4 linked regions of the Tamandua tetradactyla genome follow. The protein of the gene in region 2 purifies or fractionates together with the protein of the main gene of each other region. This does not show direct contact. Links are inferred from orthologs where the notes say so. Each region holds a gene or a part of one and is shown on either strand. Other genes may lie near its edges. The genes, in order: PKM, HDAC6, TUBB4B and DNAJA1.

Region 1 (7,804 bases), on a different chromosome or scaffold from region 2:
AGTGAGCTGGCTTCTCCTCCTTTGGAGAATGCCTGTGTTCATCTTTCACTACACATTAAAGTCTTGAGCTGTAAAAACAAACAAAATGAGTTCACTTGTAGGCTCAAATAAAATTCCCTTGCGCCTCTTTACTTCTTCAGCACTAGAACTAAGCAACCTGAATCTCAGCAGGTGTCTAAGGCCCGGTTTCAAACTAGAGTGTGAAATAAAGAACAAAAACCAATAATAAATGGGTCTAGCCCCAAATGGACAACTAAACTTCAGCAAACTAGAGAAATTCCTATGTCCTTGGATACCTAGGATTTCCTGGTTCGATCCTGAAAGTTTGAGAATTGATTTCACCTTGAAGGAGGAAAGTTTGAGTGAAACTTTTATTATGCTTTGCTATGTTTAAGCCTAGGCTTAAAAAACTGGGCAGAGTTCCTCAGCTGCCACTTGGGCATAATACCCATTCTAGAAGCAACAAGGGCCCTCCCTCCAAAGTCAGATGCAAGCAGGGCAGGTGAATGCCTCAACAAGGGGAGGCACTGGCTCAGAATTTAGAGGAGCTGACCTCAATCAGTGGAGGGGAGCAGGGGTTGGGTAGTGCCTGTACTGACCTAGTTAGTATGACTGTATGACTCGTCTTCTGACATTGACCTTCATAGAACTACTTCTTATTTTGTTTTAAAATAAATAAAAGAAACAAATTAATATCCATATTTCTACTACCCAGAACAGACCACAAAATTCATCCATATTTTCTTGTAGATTTTTTTAAAATAATACGAAATACAAATAATCAGTTCAGTTTTTCTCCATCCTCAAACCAACCTTCCTACATGCCATCATGAATTTTGCCACCCAGCCATTGCCATGAATTTTGTCTCCTTCTAGTTCTGAGTCTATATACAGTGTATCTATATTTATACTATGGTATTGTTGTGTTCTTAAAAAATTAGTCTAAAATATATACTGTATATATCCTTTTTTTGGGTCATCATTTGCTTTTTATACTCAGCACTACATTTACGATCCTTCTAGTCTGGCATATAGATCTAATTAATTCATTTTAACTTCCTTACTAGTCCACTGTATATCTAGTCCATTTTTTATGTGTCACCCTACTGGTAACCATCACCACCCCCACCATTAATACAATTTCCCTATATCAATCAATATTATGAAAACTCTTTAAGTACATGTATTCTTGTGTATTTATGAGTTTTATCTAGAAATGGAATCACTGGATGATAGAATATGTTTATTCTGTTACTATTTATTGCCAAATTGCTTTCTAATGCAGTTTTATCAATCCTGCTTTCCTTCACCTCTGCCAACATTTGATATTGTCAGGCATTTAAAATGTCTGCCAGGGTGCACAAGTGGTTCAGTGGTAGAATGCTCACCTTACATGCGGGAGACCTGGGTTCAATTCCCAAACCATGTACCCTTCCCCCCAAAAATGTTTGCCAACCCAATGGATGATCATTTGTTAGTCTGCTCTCTAACGTAGTAACAAAAGTGGGATATTGGGATAGTTTTGTTTAGAAAGTTTACTAGTACGTACACCTACCTCCCTACCTCTTAACTCAAAATTCCTGGTCTCTTCCAAAATGGGGAATGGCTATATGTCATCGCTGTTACTCAGCTGACCAGGTAATTCTTTTGGAGTCATCTCTAGAGACACCAGTTGTTTAAAGTTGAAAAAGTATCTGGATGTTGATGAAAGGTGTTCAGGATGGGCTCCATTCAAATAATATTTTGACTGCATATTTAGCTAGCAGCTATGAGCAACAATCTCGCTGCCCTACAACAGCTGGTATTGGCAGCCCACCCCACTCCCTCCCCAGCCTCTGACTGGCTTTCAAACACAGCTTGCTGGGGTCAGTTAATGAAAGGCTTAGAGCTTTCCAGGAGCTTTGCCTAAGGACATGGCCAGGGTGGGGGTGGGGGTAAAGGGAACATTGGTGGAGGGAGTCTCAGTGGCCACCAGAGGTACTGCAGCCTGGCTGTCCCTCCTACGTGCAGCCAGACACATACCATTGCAGGCGTGGGAATGCACCCCTTGGCAACCCCCCTGTGATCCCTTAGCTGAACAGCTGAACCAGGCCAAAACGTCTTGCAGAGGCTGCATCCCACTATTTACCACCCGTGCTGCTCATCTTCTCCTAAAATGCTTTAACGAAGCCCCAAATTATCAAACTAATCAATTAGCCAGTCTAGTCTGGCTCTTGGAGAAAAAACGCAAGCTCCCCAAAAGCACAGTGGTATTAAGAAAGGTACATTTCTTACATTTAGTCACACAGCACTATTCCTTATATACCACAACTGATGCTTAAAGTGATGACTCAAGGTCCCATAAGATTTTTTTTTTTACCAAATATGTACTTCACAAAGATCTTCAACAAGGTTGTAATAAAACTGCTCACAGGACAACTCATTCTTGTGGTTGGGATTTAACTGTGGACACTTGGAGTGATTATGAAATACCAATGACGTCAAATGCATCATTTTCCTCTACCTTGATCCCCAGTCTTAGCTATTGCCAAGACAATGCATCCTCACTTGCCTCCATAAAAGCTGAAACAAAATAAATTAAAAATCAAGTAATATCATGTCCACTTCAGCCCCTGTGCTCAAAGGATAACCCACTGAGAGGCTGCTATGCCCACCACAGAAAAGGCTCAGGAATGCAGACAGATAGACTGCCTCACCTGGACACAGGGCTCTGCTACTGCACCTAAGCTCTTAAGGCAGTACAGAGCCTGAGAATTTGACCCAATAATTTTTCATTTAGTTGAGACATTTTTATTTGGCAAAAACGCATGCTTCATTATTTGACTACTGAAAAGGGAGGGGACTTCTCAAGCCTCCAAGTACTGCAATGCAGTTTCCCCACTCACCCGATAAGGAGAATTCTTTCAAAAGCAGCTAAGTTGAAAGGTTGAGTCATCTTCCGCCCACAGCCTCCCACTCACCCACCTGGTGATGGGTTACATACCCTTCCCCTCAGAACAGCATAATGTATTACCAACAGCACCTTCACGCAACCAGGAGGCAAATTATTTGGTAACAATGCTGCTGCAGAGGAAGTCCTGATCCAGGTCCCTCCTCTGTACCCTAGGGAGTGGCCACACCCTCAGCACTGCCAACTGGAGGTAGCTATCCCTGCCTTGATTCCTAGCTTCATACCTACCAGTACAGAACTAAGTCCCTGAATCTCACCTGGAAACCTGCAAGGATTGGTATCTGAAGATTTCAGTCTTGGTGTTGCAAGTTTGTTTCTACTCTTACAACCAAACACCAAAGCCTGAAATTATTCCTCTCCCTGCCTTCCTTTCATCAGCTGGCTTAGAAGACCAGAGATCTCATGAGACCAAAGAGCCCAGGTTGCCAGTGGAGGTTTGCAAAGTAATATTATTAGTTACTTTGTAAACAATGTACATGAATTCCTCAGGGGACTGGTTTCAGATTTCTGGCATTTAAAGATCCTGACTGGAAGAGTAACTGTATGTGCTTAGGGATGGTAGAGAGACAAATTGAGAAGTTCAGGCCCTCATGGTCTACTATGAATTAAGCAACTGTGCTCAGTGACCAAAATAATAAATGAATTTGAAGGCATTTCTCCTGGACATCTCAGGAGAGATGAGATTTTATCAACTGCCATTTGTGCAGTACCTTCTAGATGCTAGACACTGCACTGTGTCTTTACTTACATATACATCAGTAGGTGTGTGCAGAAACCCATCCTTTCAACAATTATACAGATAATATTGCTCCCATTTACATATAGGAAACCTACGTCCAGAGGCTGAATTCGCTCAGTCATCTCAGTATGTTGTGAAGTCAACCTGATTCTAAAGTCTGTTTTCTTCTCCACAACTCACCCATGCCTCTGCCCATTGTTACTGAAACTTCTGGGCTCATTTTACATACATGGGGTTGGAGGCAGGAAACAGCAATGTTCTAGGTTTGGAGAAGATTATATAAGAAGTCAAGGGATGCCTTTCTATAACTGTGTTTCTCAATAACCTTCAAACTACAAGGTGATTTCCTTGCTTCTTCAAATCCAGTGTGGCTGCCACCTTGTGGGCATCCTGCCGCTCTGTCCCCAGCACGAGGCTAGTGGCTTCCTCATAGCACTTACCGTAATAAAATACATATCCTCTATTTGGATTGTGAACTCTGGGAGCTGTAACCGCTGTGGGCATCCCGATTTCCTCTTGTATATCACCCCTACTCCCCAAAACTGGCTTTGGCACAGGAGTTTTACGGAGGGTACGCAACACGTGGCTTCGAGCTCTTCAGATTCCCCTCTCCTCTCGCTTAACCTGCTCCCTCCACCCCGTGGCCTCTCCATTCTACAGTCAGGGAGCATTTGCTAATAAACGTCAGCAGACACAAGGAACTCCGTGAGTGACTAAAATGCGAGGAGACCACGGGAAAGCATCCAGCAGCTTCTCGGCTGGGCGGTTAGGTCTGGCTGGTAACTGCCCCGCAGGGCCAGCCATCTGGCGGGACAGGTCCCGGGCACAGGACCGCTACGTGCAGCCTCACCGCGGCGAGATGGAGCCGCGCGACGCGCCCCACCCCCACCGGGGCAGCGCAGACTTCTTGCAGCACCCGCCCCCCCCGCCCCCCCGCCTCATGGAATCCGGGGAAGAAACAGGAACTTGCCACAGGAGGAACCATCACTTCTTCCCCTGCTGCGAGGAGGGCCTAGGGTTACACAATCCTGTGCCCCGGGCCGCCGCCTCATCCCCTCCAGGGAGCCTGGCATCCCTTAGGCTGCACAGTTGACTCAGCCGGGCGACCAGTACACTTCGGGCGGTGACCCACTGCCTCCCGCCAAGACCACAGGCCGTTTTCTCCTGACGGTCTGGGAAGCCAGGATGAAGAAGGACAAAACTGAGATGGGGGACCTGGAAGAGGAGAGCGGACGTGACCAGAACGGAGGGGGCGTGGACGCGACCAAAATGGACGGGAAAGGGCGGGGACCAGGGCATGAATGAGGGAGGGGGTGAGAGGGGGAGGAGCGGGAGTGAGCACATGAATGTGGGAAGGGGTAGACATGAGGGGGCAAGGACGCGGGAAGGGCCGACGGAACCCGAATGGAGGCGGAACAGAGATGGGACATAAAGGGGAATTTAGAGGAGCGTTTACAAGGAAAGCATCGAAATGATGGGGACATGGACAAGCTGAACACGAGGGGGAGGAATGGGTCTTGTACTAAGGCGGAAGGGTAGGAGGGTGAGCAGGGGAACACAGTGGGGGATGGGGGAGAACAGGAAGGCGAGGAAGACATCAGATTAGGAGGGAATAAAAGAAGAAAGGCGAAGATGGAACCAGATTGAGGAGGGAGAGGATGAAACCAGAAGAGGGGTGGGACTGAGGAATGACAGGGGCTGGCTGACATATCTGAGAAAGGAAAGAGAGCTAAGGCTTTCTGAAGAGCAGGCCGTAGGCGCAAGCAGCCTTTCTCCTCTCACCCCAGGCCGGTCCAAGATGCTCAGGATCCTGAACCACCCCTGGAGGGGTGACCTGAGGGAAAGGCGGGCTAGGATTCCGCACCACCCGAAGTCCAGCGGGTCGCGCCTGAACCGCCCAGCCTTCCCCGCCGCTCACCTCCGGATGGTGTTGCTCAAACTGCGCTGCAAATGTCGGGTAAGCGGAGCTCTAGACGCGACGCTCCTTTGCGGGAATCAGACGCCTCAGCCTCAAGGTTATCACGGCTGCAGAGCCGCTGCACTCCCTCCGCGGTCCCGCCCTTCACCCAATCCTGGCTCTCCGCACCCTGGACCCGCCCCTCCGCGTTCTCGCTCGGTTCAGTCACCTTCAGTAAGAAGTGCAGCCCAAGCGGAACGCGCCTTCAGGTTGCCTTTTTGGGGAGAACTACATTCCGCAGCGGAAGGACACATGATTAAAAATTACCTCATTGACAGACTGTAAAAGCCAATGGGCAAGCGGCGAGGTAGCAGGACCCGCCCTCGGAACCCCGAAGACCTCCCTCCCGGACCCCCAGGCGCCCCGGACACCTGTTGCCGCCAACTTGGGCTGCGGGACTGGGTCTCTTTTCTCAGCTCCCAACCCAGTCAACCCAGCTGCCCTGGGCTATCGGTCAGTTCTCAAATTTCTAAGTCCACGAACGGTGTTCTCCCAGCTCCATGCTGAGTACTCCCCACCCTTCTGGATGCCTGTCCCAGCACACACCTCGTAGAACAGCCGAACAGGAGGTGTGGCGCCCAAGACGGGACCAGAAGGGGGAATGGAGACACATGGGATGGTAGGCGGCCCAGGCCCCCTTCATAGGCGACTCAGGCACTACGGGGCTGGGAGGGGAGCTAAGGGGGGCGGGGAGAGGGAGCCCAATGCTCATTTGTCTTTAAGTCTATTTATTATCCTAGGATCCCGGAACAAGGAAGGACTGGTTGAGGCCCTGAGAATACATTTATAGGGGGCTGGAATCTTGCAGAACGAGTGCTTGAGAGTAAAAAGCGAATGTAAAACATTAATATTAGGGCAGAGCTATTAAGGAATATCATTAAAGTTGATAATGTATGCAGGGGTCCGCATTTCCATTTTCAACCTTGTCTATTTAAATCAGTATTGTTGGAGCTTTTCTTCAGTTTTTTAGAAGACATTTTCCAATTCCCCAGTTTTTAGCCAATAACCAGTGATGAGAACACTGTTATCAATGAAACAGCTGTCAACTTTTGCCTTCATTCAGCCAACCTCTGAGAGTAGATATGTTTCCCCATTCAAAATAGTGGATCTGTTCTCTTAGGCTCCTTCTTTCGTTTTCCTAGAAAATAAGACCAATGGGTGTAACCTGCTCAAGCAGGCACTGTGCCTGCAGCTGAATCACAGGACTTTATTCTGCTTTCCTGTTAGCTCAGATAAGCTGGGGAGAAGAAAGTGGCAGCTTAAATTTTTTTAGATAAATTTTTTTCTATTTATTTCTTTTGTAAGCCTTTTCTCATTCCTTTGGTTGTCAACAGAAAGTAAATGCTTAGTTATTAAACTGTGAAAGGACATGTAGTTGTTGAGAGAAAAAAATATCAAGCCCTACCAGGGAGTCAGTTTCCTCCCTATCCAGAGAAAGGGGGATGGCATAAATGGCCCTATGTGACCCCTGAGCTGAGGATGAACTACAGTGCTGGGCAACACTAGTGTGCAAGTGATCTGGAAAATGCAATGCTGGAATATGTGCAATATAAGTTTAAAGTTCTAAATATAGATATGTTCCCGGGATTATATGCACCTGTATTAAACTGGAAATCCAGTGGCAAACTGTTGTCCTTCAGTACAGATTTTGATCACCCGTTATGAAAATGCTGCCGTAACACTCTTAACAGAGACTTAGCATATCTTTGCTCACATTAGATGCATAGTGAAATACTGCTGCAATGAGTTTAAGGAGATCAAAGTCATTTTTCTGCTGAGAAGCAGTATAATATTGAAGAGTTTGGGTTCCATATTTTAGTACCAGTTTCACTCACTAGTTCTATGACCATGTCCTGCAATTTAATATATAAGAGTCCAGTTCCTTAACAGAAAGTTGAGAGGGCAGGCACGGTTGGCTCAGCAGGCAGAGTTCTGGCCTGCCATGCCGGAGACTTGGATTCGATTACTGGTACCTGCTCATGCAAAAAAAATTAAAAAGTTGAGAACAAATCCTGCTTCATAGGTTGATGTTTGATATGATGTACGTGAATGAGTCTAACACAGTGCTCAATAGGTATTCTCTTTCTGTAGGACTAGTCCTGGAGGGTAGTCCTTGTGATCAGTGTCAGAACATCATTCTGGATCCAAGTAACTCAGC
Region 2 (7,276 bases):
CCCACCTTATTCTTCTCCACATCACTTCTCTTTCTAACATACTATATAGTTTATTGGGGGTTTGTTGTTGTTGTTTACTGTCTTCCCCCTCTAAGATGTAACCTCCATGAGAAAGGGATTTCTGTTTGTTCTGCTTACTTTAGTATCCCTAACTCCTCCATAGATGCTAAAGATTTATTCAATAAATAAAAGGCAGACACAGTTTTTGCCATAATGAGTCTTATGTTAGGATAGATACTAACTGGTAAACAAACACATAAATATAGTAATTAACAATGACATGGGCTATGAAGATCTCTAAGACCAGGCGTGTTAGAGACTGGGGCAGGAAAAGACATTTGTGAGAAAGTCTCCTTGGGATGTGAATGATAAATACACATTAGCTGCTAGAGACGAAGGCAGAAACCTATCTCCTGAAAAGGGATCAGTCAGGGTAAAGACCTGAGGTGAGAGAGTTCCTGGCAGCTTTGAAGAACAGCAAGAGGACCAGTATGGGTAAGGCAAGGTGACTGAGGAGGGAGGGTGGAGTGATGAGACCACAGAAGTACGGCAGGGCCAGATCACATGAAAGAATGAAGAATTTGGACTTTACCTTACGGGCAGCAGTCTTTGCTTGAAGGATTTTAAGAAAGAGAATGTCATACGATACACATTTTTTTTAGGCTGCTGTGTGGGGAACAGACTGTAGGGATAGGTGTGGAAGGGGGGAGGGGGGAAATGAGGAGACCTCTGCAACATTCCAGGTGAATAGTGATGCTGAGTGCAGTGGGGGTGGTGAAGAGAGGTCAGATACTGAATATAATTTCAATGTAGAGCTACACGAATTTGGTGATGGATTACAACAAATGTGAAAAATAGGGCCAATGTGAGTGTAATTCTTCAGTTTCAGCACAAATCCCCTTTCCTCAAGAAGCCTTCTGGGGAAATGGGGATGCTAACTTAGGGCCATATCTTAAACACCCTTGAGTCCCCTGGACTTAAGTTCTCCTTCATTACACACTTCATACTGCTGTGTGGCTGTTTAATGGTCTGCTCTCCTACTCACCTATCAGCTTTGGGAGAGGGGATTCCTGTCTGTGTTTTCCACATTTGTATCACTAATCGGTGGCACAAAGGAGGTGCTCAACAATTGCTTGCTGGCTAAACGATAAGAACCCTTTCAAGCCTGAGTCACGTGTTCCTAAATCAATCAGCTTCCACAGTTCCTAGGCTGGCATAAGAAATGATTTGCTCTTCCTGATGGCTCAAAGTGGGTGGATGTGTGTGGTGCGGGATGGCCTAGAGGACCCAGCCTCACCTGTCATCCCAGAGGCAATGGAATTCATTTAGCTGCTCATCAAACACCAAGCCGGTGCCAGACAGTGCCCTGGCCTCAAGGTCCAGATCCTGCAGGGAAAAAAATGGGAGAGACAGATCCATTTAGGGCCTGAGTCAGAGGGGTCATCCTGTATGGTCCAGGATGGAGAACCTCAAGGTCTCAGGCTTTTGGTTGCTATGGGAGGCCAAACCGAGTCCAGGTCCCTCTCACCAGCCCTTGCAGCCCCATGATTAGGTCTTGCTCGGCTGTTGGGCTGAGCTTCTTCATTCTGCCTTTCTTCTTTACCTCCGCTAGACTGGGGCTGGAGCGGGGTCCAGCACCCTTTTTAACACCTCGCTTCTGCCGGGCAGAGAGAAGGGTCAGAGTCCAGGGGACGGCCCGCTGCTCCCCCTCCCCCTCATCAGAGCAGGTCTGAGGCCTCACCGCAGTGGTGACGCTGGAGTCGGAGACGTGGGGGGGCGAGTGGGGATTGTGCCTATTCCTTCGCTGCCTGGTGGAATCCTGGCCGATGGAAGTCATGGTCGGGGAGACTGCGACCTGCTGCGGTACTGGGGGAGTGGAGGTGACTGTGAGGGGGCTGGAAGTGCCTGAGGACCCCCACATTCCTGCCCCCTTCTCAGGCCCCACCCCATATACTATACTCCATCCATGCCTTCTAAACTCCGCCTCTCGTAAGACTCCCTCCCTTCACTGGGGTTTCCCTTCCACCTGGTCCCGCCCTTTCCACTAGACTCCACCCCTTTGACACTATTTTCTTACTCCTTTCAAAGCCTGGTCCTTTCACAGAGTCCTAAAGCCCCAGGCTCAGTCTGTTCTAGGGCCTGCGCTTCCCAGTTAGTCATCGCCCCTTCCGCTCCACCAAGGCTCATCCCCAGACCCTTTCATTCCTCTAAACCTAGTCCAGATTCCAGGGGAATTCCAGGCTGCATTCACATACCTGCCCTTTCCCGCCTATCTCCTGGGATAGTCACCCACCCCTCTCACTTAGCCAGACCCAGCCCCTGCCCCGACTCCACCCTGAGCGAAGCACTTAACTCCACCCCTTACCGGGCCGCACTTGCCCTTCTGCCAGATCCCGCCCCTAACGTTTCAATAAACCGCGCCCCCTCAAGGGACGGCTTCTTTCTTTCCACAGATCCCACCCCCGCCCAGACCCTACTCCCTGTTTCACCCAAGCCGCTTCGGCCAGTCCCGAGCCACCTCCCGCCAGTCTCCGCCCCCGAGGCCCACATACACCAATCTCTGGGTTCCGCTCACAGAGCGCAGCCCCTTTCTCAGACTCCGCCTCTTGCTCGTGCCGCCAAGCTCCCAGCGGCCTGCGGAGCACCCGGTGCCCGAGCCCTTCCTCTCCATTGGGCACGCTTTCTCGACCGCCAGCCCAGATCCCACCCACACCGGGCACCCTCCTTTCCGCGAGGCCCCACCCCTCGCGTCGGGCACACCTCCCGCTACTTCAGAAACGGGCGGCTGGCCGGCGCGTCAGCATGAGGCGCCAGTTGTTCAATACGGGATTTAAGCTTAAGCTGTACTTTCCCCCAGCTATCGTTGCGGTCGTCCGAGCTGCCACGGCCGTGCTCCTCCGCCCCTACCCCGTCACCTTGGGAGCCCTTCGGACCCGCGGCAACCGTGCCCTGCGACGATTCAAGACAGGGAGAGGGCGAGCAAGAGAAGGAAGGAGTTGGGAAGGGGCGTGTTCACACCGCCCCGCCGCTTCCCGCGCGGCGCCGGGTGATGACGTAACGCGGGCGGGTTGGCGCCGGCGAGTGAGGTTGAGGCGGGATGATGGCTGGTGGAGGCCAAAAATAGGAATGATGGTAACAATAAATGTGGTGGTTTATTCAGTGTTTCATGCTTTGGCTAAGGTGGCACACGTGGAACACTCACCGAACGTTAGCTGTTAATAGTCTGCTGTGACAAATGGGTGATGGGGAAGAGGGGCCCCAGCAGCTGTGAAGATAGCAAGTATTATGTGCCAGATGTTGTTAGCCACGACTCTATGAGGGATTTCCCATTGTTAACGCTACTTTGCAGATAAGGAAGCAGGTTCTTCGATTAGCCATGTGACCTTGGTCAAGTTCCGAATGTCTCTGTGCTTCAGTTTCCTCATCTGGAAAATTGTGATAATAATAATAGTGCCCAGGGCCAGAATGGACCAGGAGTTTTTCACGGCTGGCTGGTCTCCCTATCTGCCCCCTCCACCGGATAACCTCTGCTCCCAAGTTGCATGGGAAAGTGTGAGTGTGCCGGCCTCGGGCTCCCGTACCTCCACCCCCACCCCTGTCTAAATATCTGCCCCGCGGGGAGGCCGGTTTGTCTTTCCTAATCTCCCTCTCTCATTCTCTACCATTTCCTACCCGGCCGCAGGCTGGGGCGGGAGAGATAAGCGGTCTGGGGTTCAGCATCGCTGACTAATAAGCAGATTGACAACCTCACTGCCCAGTAGCCGGGCCTTCTGACTCCTTTGAGGTTCCCAGTTCCAGCCCCCTCTTCCTTTTCACTCTTTTCCTGCTGTCTTTTCTCCAAGTGGAAGAAGGCCACAGACTTAAGACCTTTAAACCTCCACATACACCAAAGAAACACATATGAAGTGATACACACTGGGGGACATTCTGGGATTGTGATGTCTGCAAAGCAGGGAGTCTTGTAAAAGGTCAAGGCCTATAGTTCTGTATAGTCAGGAGATTAATTCCTGTAGAACAGGGGTCAGCAAACTTTCGATAAAGGGCAGGAAGGCAAATATTTTAGGATTTGTAAGCTGCTTGAAGTCTCTGTGGCATAATTTTGTTTTCTTCTCTTTTTCACACCCCTTTCAGAAGGTAAAAACAGGCAGTGGGCTGGGCTTGGCTGGCTGACAATAGTTTTTCAATACTTGCTGTAGAGTGTCATTCTTTGGTTTTCATTACCTGGCTAGGATTCTTTTCAAGGATGAAAGCAGGGGTTCCAGGCTGCATGAGGAGAGGTATTCCTTTTGTGTGAGATGTGAGGACAGGGACTCTTGGATAGGATCAGGTCACTCCTGACCTTTCTCTACTGTGTCAAGCAAATGTCCCTTGATAGGGGAGTGCACAGAGGTTCCTGAACTTTCTGTTCCTCTACTGGATCAAGCAGGGGTTTCTATACAGCACAAGAAAGGTGTTCCTAGAGAGCTCCAGACTAGGGGAACCTGTCCAAGTTCAGGATGGGGCTCCTTAGACTGAATTATGGCAGGTTCCTACAAACAGATCAGGGTTAGGACAGGTTTTTCTGAACAGGTTCAGTACTTGTGATCATATAGATAGTAAGATCATATGATCATGCCTAGATTCAGGTCAAGAGACTGTTATTCATTAAAATAAATTATGCTAGCTGCTATAACAAACCAACCCAGAATCTCAGGGGCTTAACAAATGACTAGTGGATCATTCATGGACCAGGAGACCTCCATTTTGTGGCTGTACTCTCCTCTAGGTCCTTGGAGATTTTTTTCTCTTCAGCCAGTAGGTGGGGAAGGAAAGGGAGAGTGGAGGTCTGCCAGGGAAGTTTTTATGAGCCAGGAGAAGTGGTATGTATCACTTTGGCACATGTTCTGTTGGCCAGAATTCAGCTTGTGTCCCATCTGGCAGAGGTTGCAAGGGAGGTTGGAAAAGATAGAGTAGGCTCAGGAAGAAAGGGAACAGGCTTTGATGAACCCATGGCAGAGTCTACTCCAAGATTCTATTGACTCCATAGAGCTCCACTGTCCAATATGGTAGGTACTAGCCACATGTGGCTAATTAACCCTTGAAATGTGGCTCGCCCTAATTGGAATGGGTTATAAGTGTAAAATACCAAATTTACAAAGTTACAAATTTGTATTTGTAATTTTACAAATTTGTAAATTTAAAAATTTACAAATTTGTATTTGTAAAATACAAATATTGAATATTTGTATATAATGTGGTGCTGGTTTGAAACTGTTCTGTACCCTAGAAAATGTCATGTTCTTTTAATCCATTCTTGTGGATGCAGACCTGTTGGGGTGGGATCTTTTGATCAGGTTATTTCCATGGAGATGCGGCCCACCCAATTCAAGGTGAGTCTTAATCCCCTTTCTGGAGTCCTTTATGAGAGGATGCAGAGAAAAACCCAGAGACATTTTGGAGAGACCTCAGAGCCGAGAGAGTTTAGAGAGAGAAAATGCCCCGGGAGAAGCAAGAAGGGCCCACAGGAGCTGAGGGAGCCACACTGAAGCCAGAAGCTGGGAGAGAAGGATCAGCAGACATTGCCATGCCCCTTCCCATGTGTCAGAGGAACCCCGGATGCCATCAGCTTTTCTTCAGATAAGATATTGTCCTATTGATGCCTTAATTGGGACATTTTCATGGCCTTAGAACTGTATATTTGTAAACTAATAAATTTCCATTATAAAAACCAACCCATTCCTGGTATATTGCATTCTGGCAGTTTTAACAAACTAAAGCAAATGGGTAAAGTAAAATACACCATTAAAATTAATTTCACCTGTTTCTTTTCCTTTTTTAAAAAATGTGGCTGCATGAACATTTAAAATGACACGTGACTCTCATTATATTTCTGTCGGACAACACCGCTATAGAAAATTATGTTTAAAGTATTGGGACAGGCGTTCTTGTACTGAGCAGGGATATGGGTTTCTCTACAGAGTCCAGTTAGTGTTTCCTGTCTGGGATATGGAAAATGATTCTATTACAATGCAAGGCAGGTTTATAGGAAAAGATGCTAGTTGGAGACATTGTGGCGTGAGAGGGAAGGATGTGAAGGGCACTTTTCTCCCTGAACAGGTAAAGATTAGATGCTCCTTTGGAGGCCAGGAAAGTTACTTTCTATAGGATCACAACATGCTCAGGATGGTCAGGATTGGGTTCCTGTAGAGAGAGCGGTGGATCAGATAATCATGTTGAGGGTTAGGCCTGGGGTTCTCCTGCAGACTTGAGACAGATGTTCATGGAAATTCAGGCTATTGGTTGTTTAACAATTTCAGAACAGGGGTTCCTATAGAGAGTAGGTATATTTGTATTGGTTCATTTCTTGGATTCCTGTGAAGAGTTAGATCAAAGGTTCCTGTTGAGTAAATGTAGGGTTTTCTGTAGCAACTCAAGACACAGGTTCCTGCTGAGAGTCATGGAGGGTAGTCCTGTGCAGGGTCAGGACAGAAATCCTGTACAGTTAGGAAGGACACTGTTTCCTTCAGAGATTCAGGTGAGTGTTCTTCTTTTGCAGCAGGACAGTGGTTCTTTTTATTTTTTTTTTCACATGGGCAGGCACCGGGAATCAAACCCGGGTCTCCGCCATGGCAGGCAAGAACTCTGCCTGCTGAGCCACCATGGCCCGCCCAGGACAGTGGTTCTTATACAAGGTGAAGACAGGACTTCTGGGACAAGGCCAGCATAAGGGTTATTATGGAAAGTCAGATCAGGGCTTCCTGTTCAGTGTCAGGACTATGTTTCCAGAGAGTAAGGTCAAGAGTTCCAATAAAGGATTAGATCAGAGGTTCCCATAAATGACTAAAGTAAAGGATTTCTCTTGAGGTTCAGGAAAAGGTTTTCTACAGAGAGTCAGATCAGAAGTTCCTGAGTGGTTGTAAGGAAAGGGTTCCTGCAGAGGGTCAGGGAGGTAAATCTAACATAGGGGAAGGAAAAGTGTTCCTACATGGTGTAAGGACAGGGAGCCCCATAAAGCATCAGTAAACAGTACCTGTATAATGTCTGGGCAGGAAGTCTGGTACCAGTTGAGGTCACAGGGGGCTCCGTGAGGGTAGAGAGTCAGAACAGGGGTCCCAGCCACAGCGTCAGGAAATAATTTTCTACAGGTTTGAGACTGAGGCTCATACTGAGAGTTGGATTATGGATTCCTGTAGACCTGATGGTGTAGGGCGTGAGGTCAGGGATTGTGTAGAATGGGGTCAGGGGTTCCTGTACATTATGAATGCAAGAGTTTCTATATTCGAATCAGAGCTGGGTT
Region 3 (7,402 bases), on a different chromosome or scaffold from region 2:
CTACATGGGCTTCATCCCCTGTGAGTAGTCCCCACCCCCACGTGCTGCTGGCTCTCAGACACCCCTTTCCCCTTACATTCCCTGCACAGGCAGCTGGGAGCAGGAGCAAGGGCTGGAGGCTCGGCCCACTTACCGGTGCTGCTCCACTGGCATAGAGACAGGTGTCTAATAGCTTCACAGCTGCCTCTGAAGGGCACCACCCCAGGGGGGACTGCCCACCAGGATCCCTGCCCCAGGGCCCACTGACACCTGACTCTTGAGCTTGTAAACTAAGCCAGCCCCCCATGCCCATTTTCAGATAGGCAGGGTACCCTCCACCCCCAGGATCTGAGCTCAGGGGAGCAGATCCCCCAACGAACCCACAGCCCATTTGCACGCTTGTTCCAGGCGGGAGCATGGCCAAGCCCAGGGCTTGCTGCAGCTTTGCTCTCCCCGCAGCCATGCAGGACAGCTATGCACTAACGTTTGGCAACAGCACACGGAAGGCCTTTCAGAAGGAAGGAGAGAGGCGGAACCACACACTATGAAAATGCTTTAATGGTGGTGGTGTCTGTACAGCAGGTGACATTGAGACAGGAAAAGAGTGCACAGCACAGTGAGACGTGGATACCAGAGAATGGGGTGGGAGTGAATAAAGAGTTCACACCACTTGCACACTTGACCAGCCATTGATTCTCTGGCTCTAGGCCACCTCCTCCTCCGCCTCCTCCTCAAACTCGCCCTCCTCCTCGGCAGTGGCGTCCTGGTACTGCTGGTACTCGGACACCAGGTCGTTCATGTTGCTCTCGGCCTCGGTGAACTCCATCTCGTCCATGCCCTCGCCCGTGTACCAGTGCAGGAAGGCCTTGCGCCGGAACATGGCCGTGAACTGCTCCGAGATGCGCTTGAAGAGCTCCTGGATGGCCGTGCTGTTGCCGATGAAGGTGGCCGACATCTTCAGGCCGCGGGGCGGGATGTCGCACACGGCCGTCTTGACGTTGTTGGGGATCCACTCCACAAAGTAGCTGCTGTTCTTGTTCTGCACATTCAGCATCTGCTCGTCCACCTCTTTCATGGACATGCGGCCCCTGAACACAGCGGCCACCGTCAGGTAGCGGCCGTGGCGCGGGTCGCAGGCAGCCATCATGTTCTTGGCATCAAACATCTGCTGGGTGAGCTCAGGCACAGTCAGTGCCCGGTACTGCTGGCTTCCCCGGCTGGTCAGTGGGGCGAAGCCAGGCATGAAGAAGTGCAGGCGTGGGAAAGGCACCATGTTGACAGCCAGCTTGCGCAGGTCGGCATTGAGCTGGCCGGGGAAGCGCAGGCAAGTGGTGACACCGCTCATCGTAGCTGACACCAGGTGGTTGAGGTCCCCGTAGGTGGGCGTGGTTAGCTTGAGGGTGCGGAAGCAGATGTCATAGAGGGCCTCGTTGTCAATGCAGTAGGTCTCATCTGTGTTCTCCACCAGCTGGTGCACTGAGAGAGTGGCATTGTAGGGCTCCACCACTGTGTCCGACACCTTGGGCGAAGGCACCACACTGAAGGTGTTCATGATGCGGTCAGGGTACTCCTCGCGGATCTTGCTGATAAGGAGGGTACCCATCCCAGACCCAGTCCCCCCACCCAGGGAGTGGGTCAGCTGGAAGCCCTGCAAACAGTCACAGCTCTCGGCCTCCTTGCGCACAACATCCAGCACCGAGTCCACCAGCTCTGCACCTTCTGTGTAGTGACCCTTGGCCCAGTTGTTCCCTGCCCCACTCTGACCTACAAGAGAGGGCAGCAGCCAGTCACTCTCAGGCCAGGCAAGCACCCCCAGTCACCACCCGCTGTGCCAAAGGGGCCAACAAGTGACTGTGTGAGGTGACCGGCAGTACTCATCCTGCAAGCATGCTCACGTAGGCCAAGCTGATAAGGCAGTTACAAGTCGGGCAATGGACCAAAGTCAAACCAGTCCCTCCCTCACAGGCAGCCCCTGCCAATACCCCAGGGCGCCATGCTGCGTCTCCAGCACAGCCTCCCCTCCCTCCCCGGGGAGATTCCCTCGGCAGCCGCCTCCCAGCGGACAGCTGGGCCTCCCTCCCCACATTGCTTGAGGACAGGGGATTGAGTGACGGGGCAGGGGGGTGCAGGGCGGCGGCGGTCAACACGGCTGGGACGGGCGGGGATGACCTTGGGGCGGCTACTTACCAAAGACGAAGTTGTCGGGCCTAAAAATCTGCCCAAAGGGCCCGGAACGCACCGAGTCCATGGTGCCCGGCTCCAGGTCCACCAGCACGGCGCGCGGCACGTATTTGCCACCTGGGGGCGGCAAGGAGGGTGTCAGCGGGGGTGGGGCCACAGGGCGGGAGCGGGGGCGCGGCGCGGTCCCTACCGGTGGCCTCGTTGTAGTACACGTTGATGCGCTCCAGCTGCAGGTCGCTGTCGCCGTGGTAGGTGCCCGTAGGGTCGATGCCATGTTCGTCGCTGATCACCTCCCAGAACTGCGCGAGACGCGGGCGGGCCGGCGGGCGCAGGGCTGAGTCACGCCGGCCGGGCCGCGGGAGAGACCCCGCCCGGGACGGACGGCCCGGCCCTGCCCAGCCCCTCCGGGCTCCGCCCCGCTCCCCGTCCCCCGCCTCCGGCCACCGCCGCGTCGCCGGGTTCCTCGAGGCCGCGCCCGCCCGCCACCCGGAGACCGCAATGCGGGGACGCCGCCCGCCCGACCCGCTGCCGCCATCTTTTCCGAGCCGGAACCGCTCGCCCGAGTCCGCGCAGAGGATCCCGCATCCGGGCCGCCCACCTTGGCGCCGATCTGGTTGCCGCACTGCCCGGCCTGCAGGTGCACGATCTCTCTCATGGCGGCGGAGGCGCGGTCGTCAGGACAGCCTTGAGAATAGGGGAGCGAGCACGCAGACTGCTACAACCGACGCTCCGCGAGTCCTTATATAGGGGCTGTGCCCGCCCCGCCGGCCATGTATTGGGCTGCCAGAATGAGGCTGGCAAGAACCCCGCTTGGATTGGCTGCGACCCCGTCCATCGAGCCGCCTAAGGCCCGCCCTCCCCTCCCCTTTCGCTCTTTATTGGCCAACCGCGGCTTCTGCTCTTCCTATCAAAATGCCCCCTTTCGCGCCGCAGTGCTCTTCCCATTGGGTGTTTCAAATGATTGATTTGTTCTCTCATTGGTGGATTCGGGGAACAGGCCGACAGGCTGGCTCTATTGGCTGAGAGGGGCTAGCGTCTTGGTAACCGCCGCAGTGCAGCGGCCGTGGGCGTGCGCGCGGGCTTGGGGCGCGGGCGCGGGCTTCCGGCAGGGATGGGAGGGGGCGGGGGAAGGGAGGGGGAGGGGGGCCAGTGGCTTTGCTCTCGGGTGAGTTGCGCATGCCCCCGCTTCTCTTGCGCTGCCCTGGCAGCTGTCTGGGATGCGGGGCTCTCAGGTCAGGGGGCTCCGGCCTGGAGGGGGGGTCCCACCCCCCACTACCCCCGCCTGGATGGGGGCGGGCGCGCGGTCCGCGGAGGCCCGGGGCCCAGCCCTTGGCAGCCACACGCAGTGTTGTGGCGACGCGCTGGCCCCACGCCGGTCGCCCTGGTGCCGCTGCCCCAGGAGCGCACAGGCCGCCTGGAGACGGGCGTGGACGGGCCGGGCGGGTCCTGCGCTGCCCTGACCTGGGACTTGGTTTGTACTTGGAGAAAGACTGTAACCGAGAAATCAGGATTTAAGGGATGATTTTAATTACTACATTGTTATATAAATGTTCCTTTTCACTTTCTGGTATATGGGAGTAGTCACGGAAGTGCCTGAACTCTCTAAATTGTATCCCAGCTGCCTTGAACTCTAATTGTTTGTATAGCCCTTATCTTCAGCGCCTGCGATTGTAAAAACCTTGTGACTAACCGTCTGTACCTAGATGTCCAGTTTTTCAACTTTAGAGTCTTGTAATCACTAAGGAAAGTGTTTGCTGGCTGATACTGAAGGGTCTTGGGTCTTTCTGGAACTAATGCACCCCCAAGTTCCAAATGATCTTGATGGTTGAAACTGGCTTTAACCTAAGTGGGCCCACCTGACAGTAGCTTAGACCTGTAACCCACAAGTTACCTGTACCCAATTCCACCATTTTCTTTCATGCATTTAGTGACTAAGCATGTAATCAATCTGCGCATGCTCAATAATTAGAGCACCTGTAATTACATCATCTGGGGCCATAGTGCTTATTATCCTAAACCCTGCCCACTTTTTCTCTAACAGAACTACCTGAATTACTGCAGTTAGGAGAGACAGATTTTGGGTCCTTAGTCCATCTGCTCTCCTACTATGTGTGGTAATAACTCTTTCTTCGAAACCCTGGTTTCTCAGGAATTCTCAGGAATTGGTTATTGAGCGTGTCAGGCAGAAGAAGGCAATTGTTATGTTCTCCCATAACAATTTGGTGACCATGAAGGGACGAATGCCCGGAGCTCTGGAGGCCCAGCAGAGCAGCTGTAAGCCAGGTAGCTGAGCTGAGCCTTTTGCGGCCGCCGGACTGAATTTAACCTAAAGGCTCAGCAACCGGGGTTGCTCTGCTCTGCCGGCACTCCAGAGGCTTTTGCTGCTCCAAGAAAGCTTCAAAGAGAGGAACCATTTGCAGTTCCAGGTCTGGACATCTGACTGGGTGAGTGGGTCATCAGGGTAAGTGTGGGTCGGGGAGTAAATAGGCAGTTTGAGTCCCCTGACCTAGGCCTGGGTCATGCTTCCAGAACAATCCCCAGTGCTCTGGCTCCTACACCTTCTGATTTGGGGTACCTTACTGAACAAAGTCTGAAGCCCTAACCGAATCCAACAATTAACTGGTGTTTAATGAAACTACGTGAGCCTGTTTAAGTGCTAGCCACCGTGTTATCTAAGTATTGGTTAATTGTTAAATTGGTGTGCTAAGAGTTTTATGCCTGTTTAACTGTTAATGATGTATTTGGTGTGTGTTCTGTACAGGGTTTGAGGCCCTGCCTAAATTTGTCTATTGATTATACTCCTGAAAAATGAGTAATCCAACAATTAATTGGTATTTAATGAAGTTAAGTAAGCCTGCTCACATACTAGCCAGTGTGTTACCTGGGTATAGTAAGAGTTGATGCTTGTTTAATTGTTAGTGGGTGTGTTAAGCGTTTAATGCCTGTTTGTTGGCTGGTGTAGTCAGTTATTAATTGATGTATTCCTGCATTTGTATTGGACAGATGTTCCTAAGTGGTTACTTATTACAGAAATTATTTTAAAAAGGGGACCTTTGGGCTGTATTGGAAATTGAAAAGATTTTGGTTATGAGTCTATAAAAAAGGTTTTATTTCTGTTACATAATTTGGCCTCAATATGATTTAAAATGAAAACACTGCCATTATAGTTATTACAGTTAGTTTTGCAAAAAGATAGAAATGGGATGAGATAATACATTCAATCCTTTATGTGTCCCTCTCAGAAGTATTTCTGTGCCTCTGTTTTTTGTGTAACTAATTTTCTATTTGTTTGTATTCATTTTCAATGTATATTCTCATACCTCCAGATGGAAATTGCAAATTAATAAGAAAATTATTAAAGAGTTCTATTTGAACTACTTAGAAATAATTAGGTGCATGATATAAATATATAAATTTATATGTAAAAGTATAAATTCTGAAGTAAAAGGGTAGAAAGAGAAAAAAGCTGTGTGAATGGTAAGATTCAAAACCTTAAGGGGTATAGAAAAAAAAATAGGGATAACAGAGGTTAAAACATAGATGGAAGTGCTAGTGGTCAATGGGAGGGAGAGGTAAGGGGTATGGTATGTATGAGTTTTTTCTTTTTATTTCTTTTTCTGGAGTGGTGCAAGTATTCTAAAAAATGATCATGGTAATGAATGTACGATGACATTGTGAGGCACTGATTATACACCATGTATGGAATGTTTGTATGTTAAGAAAGTTTGTGTTTGTATGTTGTTTTCTTATATGTCAATTTAAAAATTATTTAATTAAAAAAAAGATTTAAAACCTTAGTTTTGTAATTACTATAAACAAACCGGGACATTAGAAAGACTCCTGGAGGCCTGGGAAAGATAGAACTATAAAGCTTCCCCACCTGGGGAATTCCTGGCATTTTTTTTTAAGCAACAGAGGCTCCCAATTTAATAAGCCAAAGCCTCAATTTTGAGGCTTGCCCTTATGAAACTTATTTCTGTAGTGATAAACTGAACCTACTTAGAATTAGTGCCTAAGAGCCGTCTCCAGAAAATCTCTACAGTTGCTCAAATGTGGTCTCTCTCTAAGCCAAACACGGAACTTCCCCCCCAACGCGGGACATAATTTCCAGGGGTGTAAGCCTGGAACTGGCAGCATGAAACGTAACTGGCCCTGCCATTGTGAGACATAAGTTCCAAGGATGCACCGGGCCCTGATATCATGGAAGAACTGACCAAAAGGGGGAAAAGAAATAGAGTTTCAATGGCTAAGAGATTTAAAATCAAGTCAAGAGGTCATTCTGGAGGTTACTCTTAGGCAAATTTCAGCTAAATATTGCAAACTGCCACAATATGGTGTGGTAGTTAGATTCAGTTGTCAACTTGGCCAGGTGAAAGCACCTAGTTCTGTTGCTGTGGACATGAGCCAATTGTAGGTGAATCTCATCTGTTGCTAATTATATCCGCAGTCGGCTAGGAGACGTGTCTGCTGCAATGAGTGATGTTTAACTTAATTGGCTTGTGCTTAAATGAGAGAACGCAATGTAGCACAGTCTAGCAGCTTGGCATTCCTCATCTCAGCACTTGCAGCTCAGCTCGGGCCCTTGGAGATGGAGAAAGAAATCACCCCGGGCAAAGTTGTTGGAACCCAGGGGCCTGGAGAGAAGACCAGCAGAGACCATCCTGTGCCTTCCACGTAAGAAAGAACCTCAGTGGAAAGTTAGCTGCCTTTCCTCTGAAGAACCAACAAAATAAATCCCCTTTTATTAAAAGCCAATCTGTCTCTGGTGTGTTGCATTCCGGCAGCTAGCAAACCAGAACAGATTTGGTACCGGAGAGTGGGGTACTGCTGCGGTTTGCAAATGCCAGATATGTTTGAACGGTGTTTTGGATGGCTAAGGGGAAGACTTTGGAGGAACTGTGAAGAGATTGATGGAGAAGTCTTGGAGGGCTTGAAGAGACTGTTGGTGTAAATGGAACCACCGCCAATCTTGACAAAGGACACAAAAGGGAGAGATTGGAGTTTGCAGAGTGAGAACCGTGGAAGTTCGGGTCTGAAGCCAAGAAACCTCGGCCAGGAGAGTGGACCCACCTGTATGTGTGGAGAGGGTGAGTTTACCCTGAAGGGTGAGGATGAGTCTCCCCTCTCATTGCAGTGGAATAGTTGTGCAGCCTCGGGCCTTGGAAAAGGCGTAGCACGCTCCTTGGGGGACTGGGAGAGCCTGGCTGCCACCATGTGGAGGGGTTGAGCGTGCGCCCCAGAA
Region 4 (7,111 bases), on a different chromosome or scaffold from region 2:
GATCATATAAGGACACTGTGGATAAAGAAATGAAGTCACCTGTCAATGGTTAGTTAATAAGTTCCTAGCCTAGTGATTCTTCCACAAGGACTTTATCCACCACCAAACAGTACTATCTTACACCTAAATGAAAAAGTTCTGAAACTTCTTCCTGCATAACATGCCCAAGGAACATTTTTGTTTGTTTCAGCTACATGTCACATACCACGAACTATACCCTTCTGCTCCTAACTGCACCTCTGGGTTCCGTATTGTACAGTCCCATGAAGTTAATTCTGCATGCTAAAAGCTATGTTTTTTACTTTAAACTTTGTTATACGGAGTCGGAAATGTAAAGAAGGAAAAATAAAATTTCTAAAGTTTGATGAAGCACACTATTTTCTGGTCTAATATGTTGGCTTCTTATTGATCTAAGCCATATAGGAATTTACGAATAGTTGTTACTAAAAAAACAAAAAATCAATCCTAATAATTTACTAATAAAGCAACTAATTTGGATTGTAGATTTTCTTTTTATAGTAAATTTCTACAAAATGAGCAAATAAAAACATATTTGTTTCCTTGAAGACCTTTGTGAGGACTGAGTAAACCAACAACTTCCAAAGTCTTTTTGAACGGTAAAATCTCAACAGTGAAATTTAATGCTTGCTAGTTTGTTCTGAAACTGGCTTCTAACCATTAAACCCTGTTTGTACTAACTATACTGAGAACAAAGTCAGAGCAATTTCTCTTGACCAGAATACTGTAGTTTTACAGTACACAACCACATTTCTGTTCAATGCTATAAACGTATAGTTTGGTAAAAGTGGTGCAAGATTCAACAGTTAAGTTACTTGGAGGCGACGAAGCTATCTTTCAATCCTGTAAGACCTTGACTACGTCAAGTTTCTGAACACTAACTCACCCTTGATTGAAAAAAAGGCCACAGTACCCACCACTGTGTTGCACCAAAGAGCTGTAAAAACGGCTTAGAAAATTATACTGTTAAACTTTGTCCCCTTAATTAACTTTAGCTTTAGTCTAAAAGCTAAAACTTACTAGAAGCACTTATTTATTACCACTTAATTACCTTAAGCATTTTTAGTTCCATCAAATCTTCACTTACAAAAATTATAAATCAGTTTGTGGCCAGTTGCAACTTTGTACCAACAAGTTAGAAAGCACTGGAATAAATGACGTCACAAGAATTTGCTTTGTTCAATGGCTACTTTAATTTGTTGCATATTGACCAGGTTATTCTTACCTCTCCTTTCTCTCTGCATCCTTCCACCACCTCCAAAAAACATATCAAAGATGTCCATAGGGGAGCCAAAACCCCCTCCTGCTCCACCCTCTTTAATGGCCTGTTCTCCTCCTTTGTCATATAATTCTCTTTTCTTGGCATCAGAGAGCACTTCATAAGCTTGCGAAATCTGTTTAAACTGTTTACAAGAAAGGAAACAAATTTCGTGTTTTTTAAACAAAAGTATAACAAAGCATAGCCACTATATTAGGCACTCTCAATTCCAGGTCCTAAAATATTTCATACGTCTGGCAAAAAACTATTCAGACAAGTTTAAGGATATGTATTACTTGCCTTCTCGCCTTCATTTGGATTCTTATCAGGGTGGTATTTCAAGGCAAGTTTCCTGTAAGCCTTTTTCAACTCTTCCTGGGTGGCATTGGGTTTGACCCCCAAAACATCATAGTAAGTGGTTTCTTTCACCATTTTCTACAGCCTGAAATTAAAAAATGCAATTTTAAGGGACTTTCAATTTGTACTTTCAGTTAGTAAAACCTGTCCTTTGCCAAGATCTGATTAAAATAACACAGCTTCTTAAACTTCAGAGTAAAGATAAGGATTCCTATGATAATTCAGCCCGAGTTCTAACAGACCACATACACACTAACAACTAAGAGAAAAATTCAAGTCTTAGCAGTTGGTTCCCACTCTCCCAAATGAAAGCCTCTGTAAAAACGCGACAATTAACCTGGATTGCTTATTTCCTATCCCCAGAGATGGTGACAAAACAGCAGTCATCCAAAGAACACCACCATATTCAGTCCATCGGTTATTACATTATCATTGTCTTCAGTAAATTCGATGAACGCCAAACACTAAGAAAATACATCTGGGCTCGACCGGGGGTGGGTGGACAACGTGGTTTATGGAACTCATTAGGAACATTACTTTCAGAGAGTAAGCGCCCCTCCCTCCCATCCTGAGGGACAGCTCTCAATCAAGGAGCTTATATCTCCTCCGCTTTCATCGCCGAGTCCCTCCTGCCCTACAAGCCAGTGTCAACCACTGTATTTACATCTCGCCAGGTTTCTCCCCTCACTTGGCGCCGTTTCCTTCCTTTCTCCTTCCTACCCTGTATCTAAGAGGTGGGGGTAGAAGCCCAGGCCTAAACAAAGAACGAAGGCAGGGAGAAGAAACGAAAGCGGCAGCTTCCGCCCCACCCCTCCCGCAGCCCCTGGCCCCTACCTCCCCCCGCGCCTGCGCGCAAAGGCGCCCACTCCGAGCGAGCGCGGGCGGAGGGGGCGCCAGGGCGCGCGCGGAGGGGAAGCGGAGGCGGAGACGGCGGCTCCCTGGGGACCTCAGGCTGGTTGGGGGATGGTTACGTGGGGGGGGGGGGCTGCGTGGGGGGGGGGCTGCGTGGGGGGGCACTCAGAGAAGGCCTCACGTCCACTTACTGGGTACCGGGGATGGACTGTCGGAGTACAGTCCGTGGATACCGGAATGGGGAATCGTGGATACAGGAACCGACAACCCTCCCGCCCACGCGGAGCTAACCGCCTCTAACCGCGGCTCCACCTGAATCCCCAGTGCCTCAAGAGTGCCAGCCTGGGGACGAAGGAAAATGCGAGGGCTGAGACTCACCGGTGAGCAGGCCGAGGCTGGTGAGGGGGAGCGGGAAGGAGCGCGTCGCTGTGCGCAGCTCAGGCACCCACCACTCCTCCACCTCTCACCGAGCGTTCTGGAAAGTTCCGGCCGGCGCGCCGCAGCCGTCGTCTTTTGTAGTCGAGCCGGGGCGCGTCACTCGCCGGAAGTCCCGCCCCTCCCGGCCACTGCCACCGCCCACGGTTACCTGGGCAACGGCGCGGGGGCACTTGGGCTGGGAGGGGCTGCGCGGAAGGGCCTTGTGTGGGGGGTGGGTACAAACCCACGTTCTCGACGCTTTTGGAAGCTTCTGGAGCCATTATCTTTCGGCAGCCCTAGGTGCGGAAATCCCGGGTGGACGCGGTTATTGTGCCCTGTGCGGTGCAATTCCGATGCAACTCGGGGATCTGAAACTATTGGGGCGGTTGCGGCTGCTCGATAGGGCGGGGAGGGCTCGGGAGCCAGGCGGCTGCCGTCTGCCGATTGGGAACTTCCCAGAACAAAGCACTGCAGCCCCTCCTCCCCACCGTCGCCTTTTCCCCCTCTTTCCCCTTCAACTGTGTTAGTTCTTGACCCTGAAGTTCTGGGAACTCGCGGAGCAAGAAATGCTGAGCGAGGTGGACCTAGTCCACAGACCCTTCTCAGGCCTTGAAATTTGGTCTTTTTTACACAGTCTAGAGCTTCTTAATTCACCAAACTGGGAGGGAGGAAGAGCCCTTTGTGGATGTCTCGGCCTCCAGGTGCACATTATCTGCCTTAAGCCTTTTTGTCGCCTTCGTATTGAGTGCAAGGAGTCTGGGATTGTGGTAAACAGAGAAACGTTTAGGATTGCTTAGTGCAAGCTGAGAACCATAGCTCCTTCCCTGGCGAGGGATCCCTCCTGGTTGGGCGAGTCGGGGACACGGTAGCGCTAAGAGTGGCTAGCTGTGAAAAATTGTTTTACGTGACTTTTAAGTCCCAGCATTCTGTGAACTTGGATCTAGAGTCTATGAAGTGAAACGTTGGGTATTCAAATGTTGGGAAGGAAGCATAATGGAAAACGGTGTCCATTTTCCTGAATGTAATACATTAAATTTATGACGACTATTTAGCACCAAAGAAGCAGCAAAATTGAGAAAGCATGGGCCATATCTCTTGGACTTAGAGGGGAAGCCTTTGAACTAAACCAGAACGGCAAGATAGTGGTCAGGAGGGGAGAGTTTCTAGCGTTAGATTGATTGGGGAAAGTAAAGCGTTTTGGGGAAAATGACGGTTATAGGGAGTTTTGAAAAGGGAGAAGAGCATTCCTAGGAAAGGATAAAACAGAAAAGGTTGAGAGGTGTGGGAAAGTATGATGTTTTTAGGAAATTGTAAGTAATTGAATACAGCCAGAGCTAAGGCTGCCGGAGTGGCTGGAGGTGAGGAGTCAGGTCGTTGGGAAATATCTCCATGCTTTGATATATCTTGCCAAGCTAAGAATTTTGAACTTCACTCGGAAGCATGACCCTGCCCTTCAGCCTTATTGCCCTCATTGATTTAAACGGGATACCTTTCAACCAAGCTGTCTGTAGTTTCTCAAATGCAGTTTTTCAAGTCCGCGTGATTTTGCTTTGCCTGTTAAACACTTAAATTTTCCAGTGTTACATATAACTTATGAAGTGTAACCCACACTTAATTTAAAGCCTAATATTGCCAGACGGTAATTGCTACGGCGTGCAATATAACGATTTTCTAAGTCATGGTATCTGCCCTCAAGGAGCTCACCACGTAGTGAGGGAACCAGAGACATAATATATTAAGAATATTTGGGGTACCAGAAAAGACAGTGTTCTATTAATCCATTCTTGGAAAAAAAAATATTTTGGTGCCGATTTGGGGAACTGTTTACCATACAATTAGGTTTGCCAAGCAGAAACCAGCAGATGTGAAGGCATGCATGGACATGAACAATAAATAAGCCATAACTAAATATATTGTTCTTGTGTTACATAAGAGTTTTAGTCCTGGAGTTCCTACTTTACTGTAATTTAAGTTATGCATTTATGATGTTAATATTGATTAAGCAAATGAAGTAAACATCAGTATGGTATATATCAAATGACTTCAACCAAGAGTTTCCACAATGACTACTACTATGTTTAGTGTTTCTGCTTCAGAAACCCACAAGTTTGAGAACTGCAAATGTGATACAAACATGAAGATAACTACTTGGCGCAGTGAAACGTGATGTTGAAGATAGTTTTAAAATGTGCAAGCTCATATAGTAAGTGAATAAATAATGGGCATAAAAGTTGGTTAATGAAAAATATATTGCTTGTGTATGCATAGACTACTTCTGAAGATACACAGTAACTTGTATGGTTGCCTATGGGGAGAGCTGTGGAGAAAGGGACTGGGGGGAGGGGACAGATGAGAGAGGCATTTCACAATGTATCTTTTTTTAAGCTTTTGAATTTTTAACCCACAAGAATGTAGTACTTACTAAAAACTCAGCTTAAAAAAGTATAAAATTCTTCCCTCTCAATTCAAGCTTTGAGCTAGTAACTTGTAACCCCAACAGCAAAGTTAGGTCATAGTTGCCTTAAAAGCCACCCTTACATATGTTCGTTTGACAGTTTTTCCTTGATAGAACCTATCTCGAAAAATACATTCTGGCGAATAATCTGGCACCTTAATAGTAGAAGTTTTGACACTTTTTTTTTCTTTAGAAGTTAATGCTTTTAAGAAGCATTTTTATTTACATAAAATACCCAAAACAGCGATAAGTTTATGTGATTTTTTTGTAGAAATGGGATCATATATAGCATAGTGTTTGTACCTTGCCCTTTTTGCTAAATTTGCTGCTATGTTACCATGCATATCATGATAAATATCTACCTTCCTATTTTCGATGATTTCATAGTATGTAGTATGCAGGACCATAATTCATTTAACTGTTCCCCTGTTGATGAATAATTTTATTTTTACAACATTTTACAAGCGGTGCTACAGAGGAGAGTTCTCAAGTAGATCTTTGGGTACTCATGTATCTATTTCTGTAGGAGGAACACTTAGAATTGAAACTTCTGGGTCAAAGTGAGTACAGATTCAAAATCGTAATAACTTTCCATATAAGTTCTATCAGTCTGTACTGCCCCCAGCAGTGTGAGTGGGCCTTGCCAACATGGAGGGTTCTTTTATTATTATTTTTAATCTTTGCCAGCTTTAGAGATAAAAATGATACCTTATTGTTTTTTTATTAATTAAAAAAAGATTAACTAACACAACATTTAGAAATCATTCCATTCTACATATGCAATCAGTAATTCTTAATATATCACATAGATGTATGATCATCATTTCTTAGTACATTTGCATCAATTTAGAAAAAGAAATAGTAAGACAACAGAAAAAGAAATAAAATGATAATATAGAGAAAAAAATAAAAATAAAAAATACAAAAAGTGTATATAAAAAAACACACAAACAAAAAAAACTATAGCTCAGATGCAGCTTCATTCAGTGTTTTAACATAATTACATTACAATTAGGTAGTATTGTGCTGTCCATTTTTGAGTTTTTGTATCTAGTCCTGTTGCACAGTCTGTATCCCTTCAGCTCCAATTACCCATTATCTTACCCTGTTTCTAACTCGTGCTGGTCTCTGTTACCAATGACATATTCCAAGTTTATTCTCGAATGTCGGTTCACATCAGTGGGACCATACAGTATTTGTCTTTTGGTTTTTGGCTAGTCTCACTCAGCATAATGTTCTCTAGGTCCATCCATGTTATTACATGATTCATAAGTTTATTCTGTCTTAAAGCTGCATAATATTCCATCGTATGTATATACCACAGTTTGTTTAGCCACTTGTCTGTTGATGGACATTTTGGCTGTTTCCATCTCTTTGCAATTGTAAATAATGCTGCTATAAACATTGGTGTGCAAATGTCCGTTTGTGTCTTTGCCCTTAAGTCCTCTGAGTAGATACCTAGCAATGGTATTGCTGGGTCGTATGGCAATTCTATATTCAGCTTGTTGAGGAATCACCAAACTGCCTTCCACAGCGGTTGCACCATTTGACATTCCCACCAACAGTGAATAAGTGTGCCTCTTTCTCCGCATCCTCTCCAGCACTTGTCATTTTTTGTTTTGTTGATAATGGCTATTCTGGTGGGTGTGAGATGATATCTCATTGTGGTTTTGATTTGCATTTCTCTAATGGCCAGGGACATTGAGCATCTCTTCATGTGCCTTTTGGCCATTTGTATTTCCTCTTCTGAGAGG

What was found.
Region 1: the proteins of HDAC6 (region 2) and PKM purify together in Homo sapiens (affinity purification with mass spectrometry, with the first as the bait; 4 studies listed by BioGRID). This does not show direct contact. The link is inferred for Tamandua tetradactyla from reciprocal best matches to the Homo sapiens genes HDAC6 and PKM.
Region 3: the proteins of HDAC6 (region 2) and TUBB4B purify together in Homo sapiens (affinity purification with mass spectrometry, with the first as the bait; 4 studies listed by BioGRID). This does not show direct contact. The link is inferred for Tamandua tetradactyla from reciprocal best matches to the Homo sapiens genes HDAC6 and TUBB4B.
Region 4: the proteins of HDAC6 (region 2) and DNAJA1 purify together in Homo sapiens (affinity purification with mass spectrometry; 4 studies listed by BioGRID and IntAct, with this or other methods). This does not show direct contact. The link is inferred for Tamandua tetradactyla from reciprocal best matches to the Homo sapiens genes HDAC6 and DNAJA1.

The regions. Positions count from the first base shown.
Region 1 is NC_135338.1:70,093,294-70,101,097, reverse strand, and holds the start of PKM (pyruvate kinase PKM), read right to left. Parts: upstream 3,015-7,804; 5' UTR 2,936-3,014; coding exon 2,886-2,935; intron 1-2,885. UniProt on the Homo sapiens protein: Catalyzes the final rate-limiting step of glycolysis by mediating the transfer of a phosphoryl group from phosphoenolpyruvate (PEP) to ADP, generating ATP.
Region 2 is NC_135353.1:121,434,216-121,441,491, forward strand, and holds the start of HDAC6 (protein deacetylase HDAC6), read right to left. Parts: upstream 3,022-7,276; 5' UTR 2,916-3,021; intron 2,892-2,915; exon of another isoform or gene 2,761-2,891; intron 2,710-2,760; exon of another isoform or gene 2,553-2,709; intron 2,484-2,552; exon of another isoform or gene 2,366-2,483; intron 2,349-2,365; exon of another isoform or gene 2,256-2,348; intron 1,867-2,255; 5' UTR 1,838-1,866; coding exon 1,742-1,837; intron 1,658-1,741; coding exon 1,529-1,657; intron 1,387-1,528; coding exon 1,298-1,386; intron 1-1,297.
Region 3 is NC_135328.1:130,711,603-130,719,004, forward strand, and holds TUBB4B (tubulin beta-4B chain), read right to left. Parts: upstream 2,956-7,402; 5' UTR 2,816-2,955; coding exon 2,759-2,815; intron 2,460-2,758; coding exon 2,351-2,459; intron 2,278-2,350; coding exon 2,167-2,277; intron 1,744-2,166; coding exon 683-1,743; 3' UTR 528-682; downstream 1-527. Other genes in the region: CIMIP2A (ciliary microtubule inner protein 2A), read left to right, coding at 1-20, 388-527. UniProt on the Homo sapiens protein: Tubulin is the major constituent of microtubules, a cylinder consisting of laterally associated linear protofilaments composed of alpha- and beta-tubulin heterodimers.
Region 4 is NC_135328.1:62,870,951-62,878,061, forward strand, and holds the start of DNAJA1 (dnaJ homolog subfamily A member 1), read right to left. Parts: upstream 3,014-7,111; 5' UTR 2,864-3,013; intron 2,408-2,863; exon of another isoform or gene 1,971-2,407; intron 1,719-1,970; 5' UTR 1,709-1,718; coding exon 1,577-1,708; intron 1,422-1,576; coding exon 1,244-1,421; intron 1-1,243.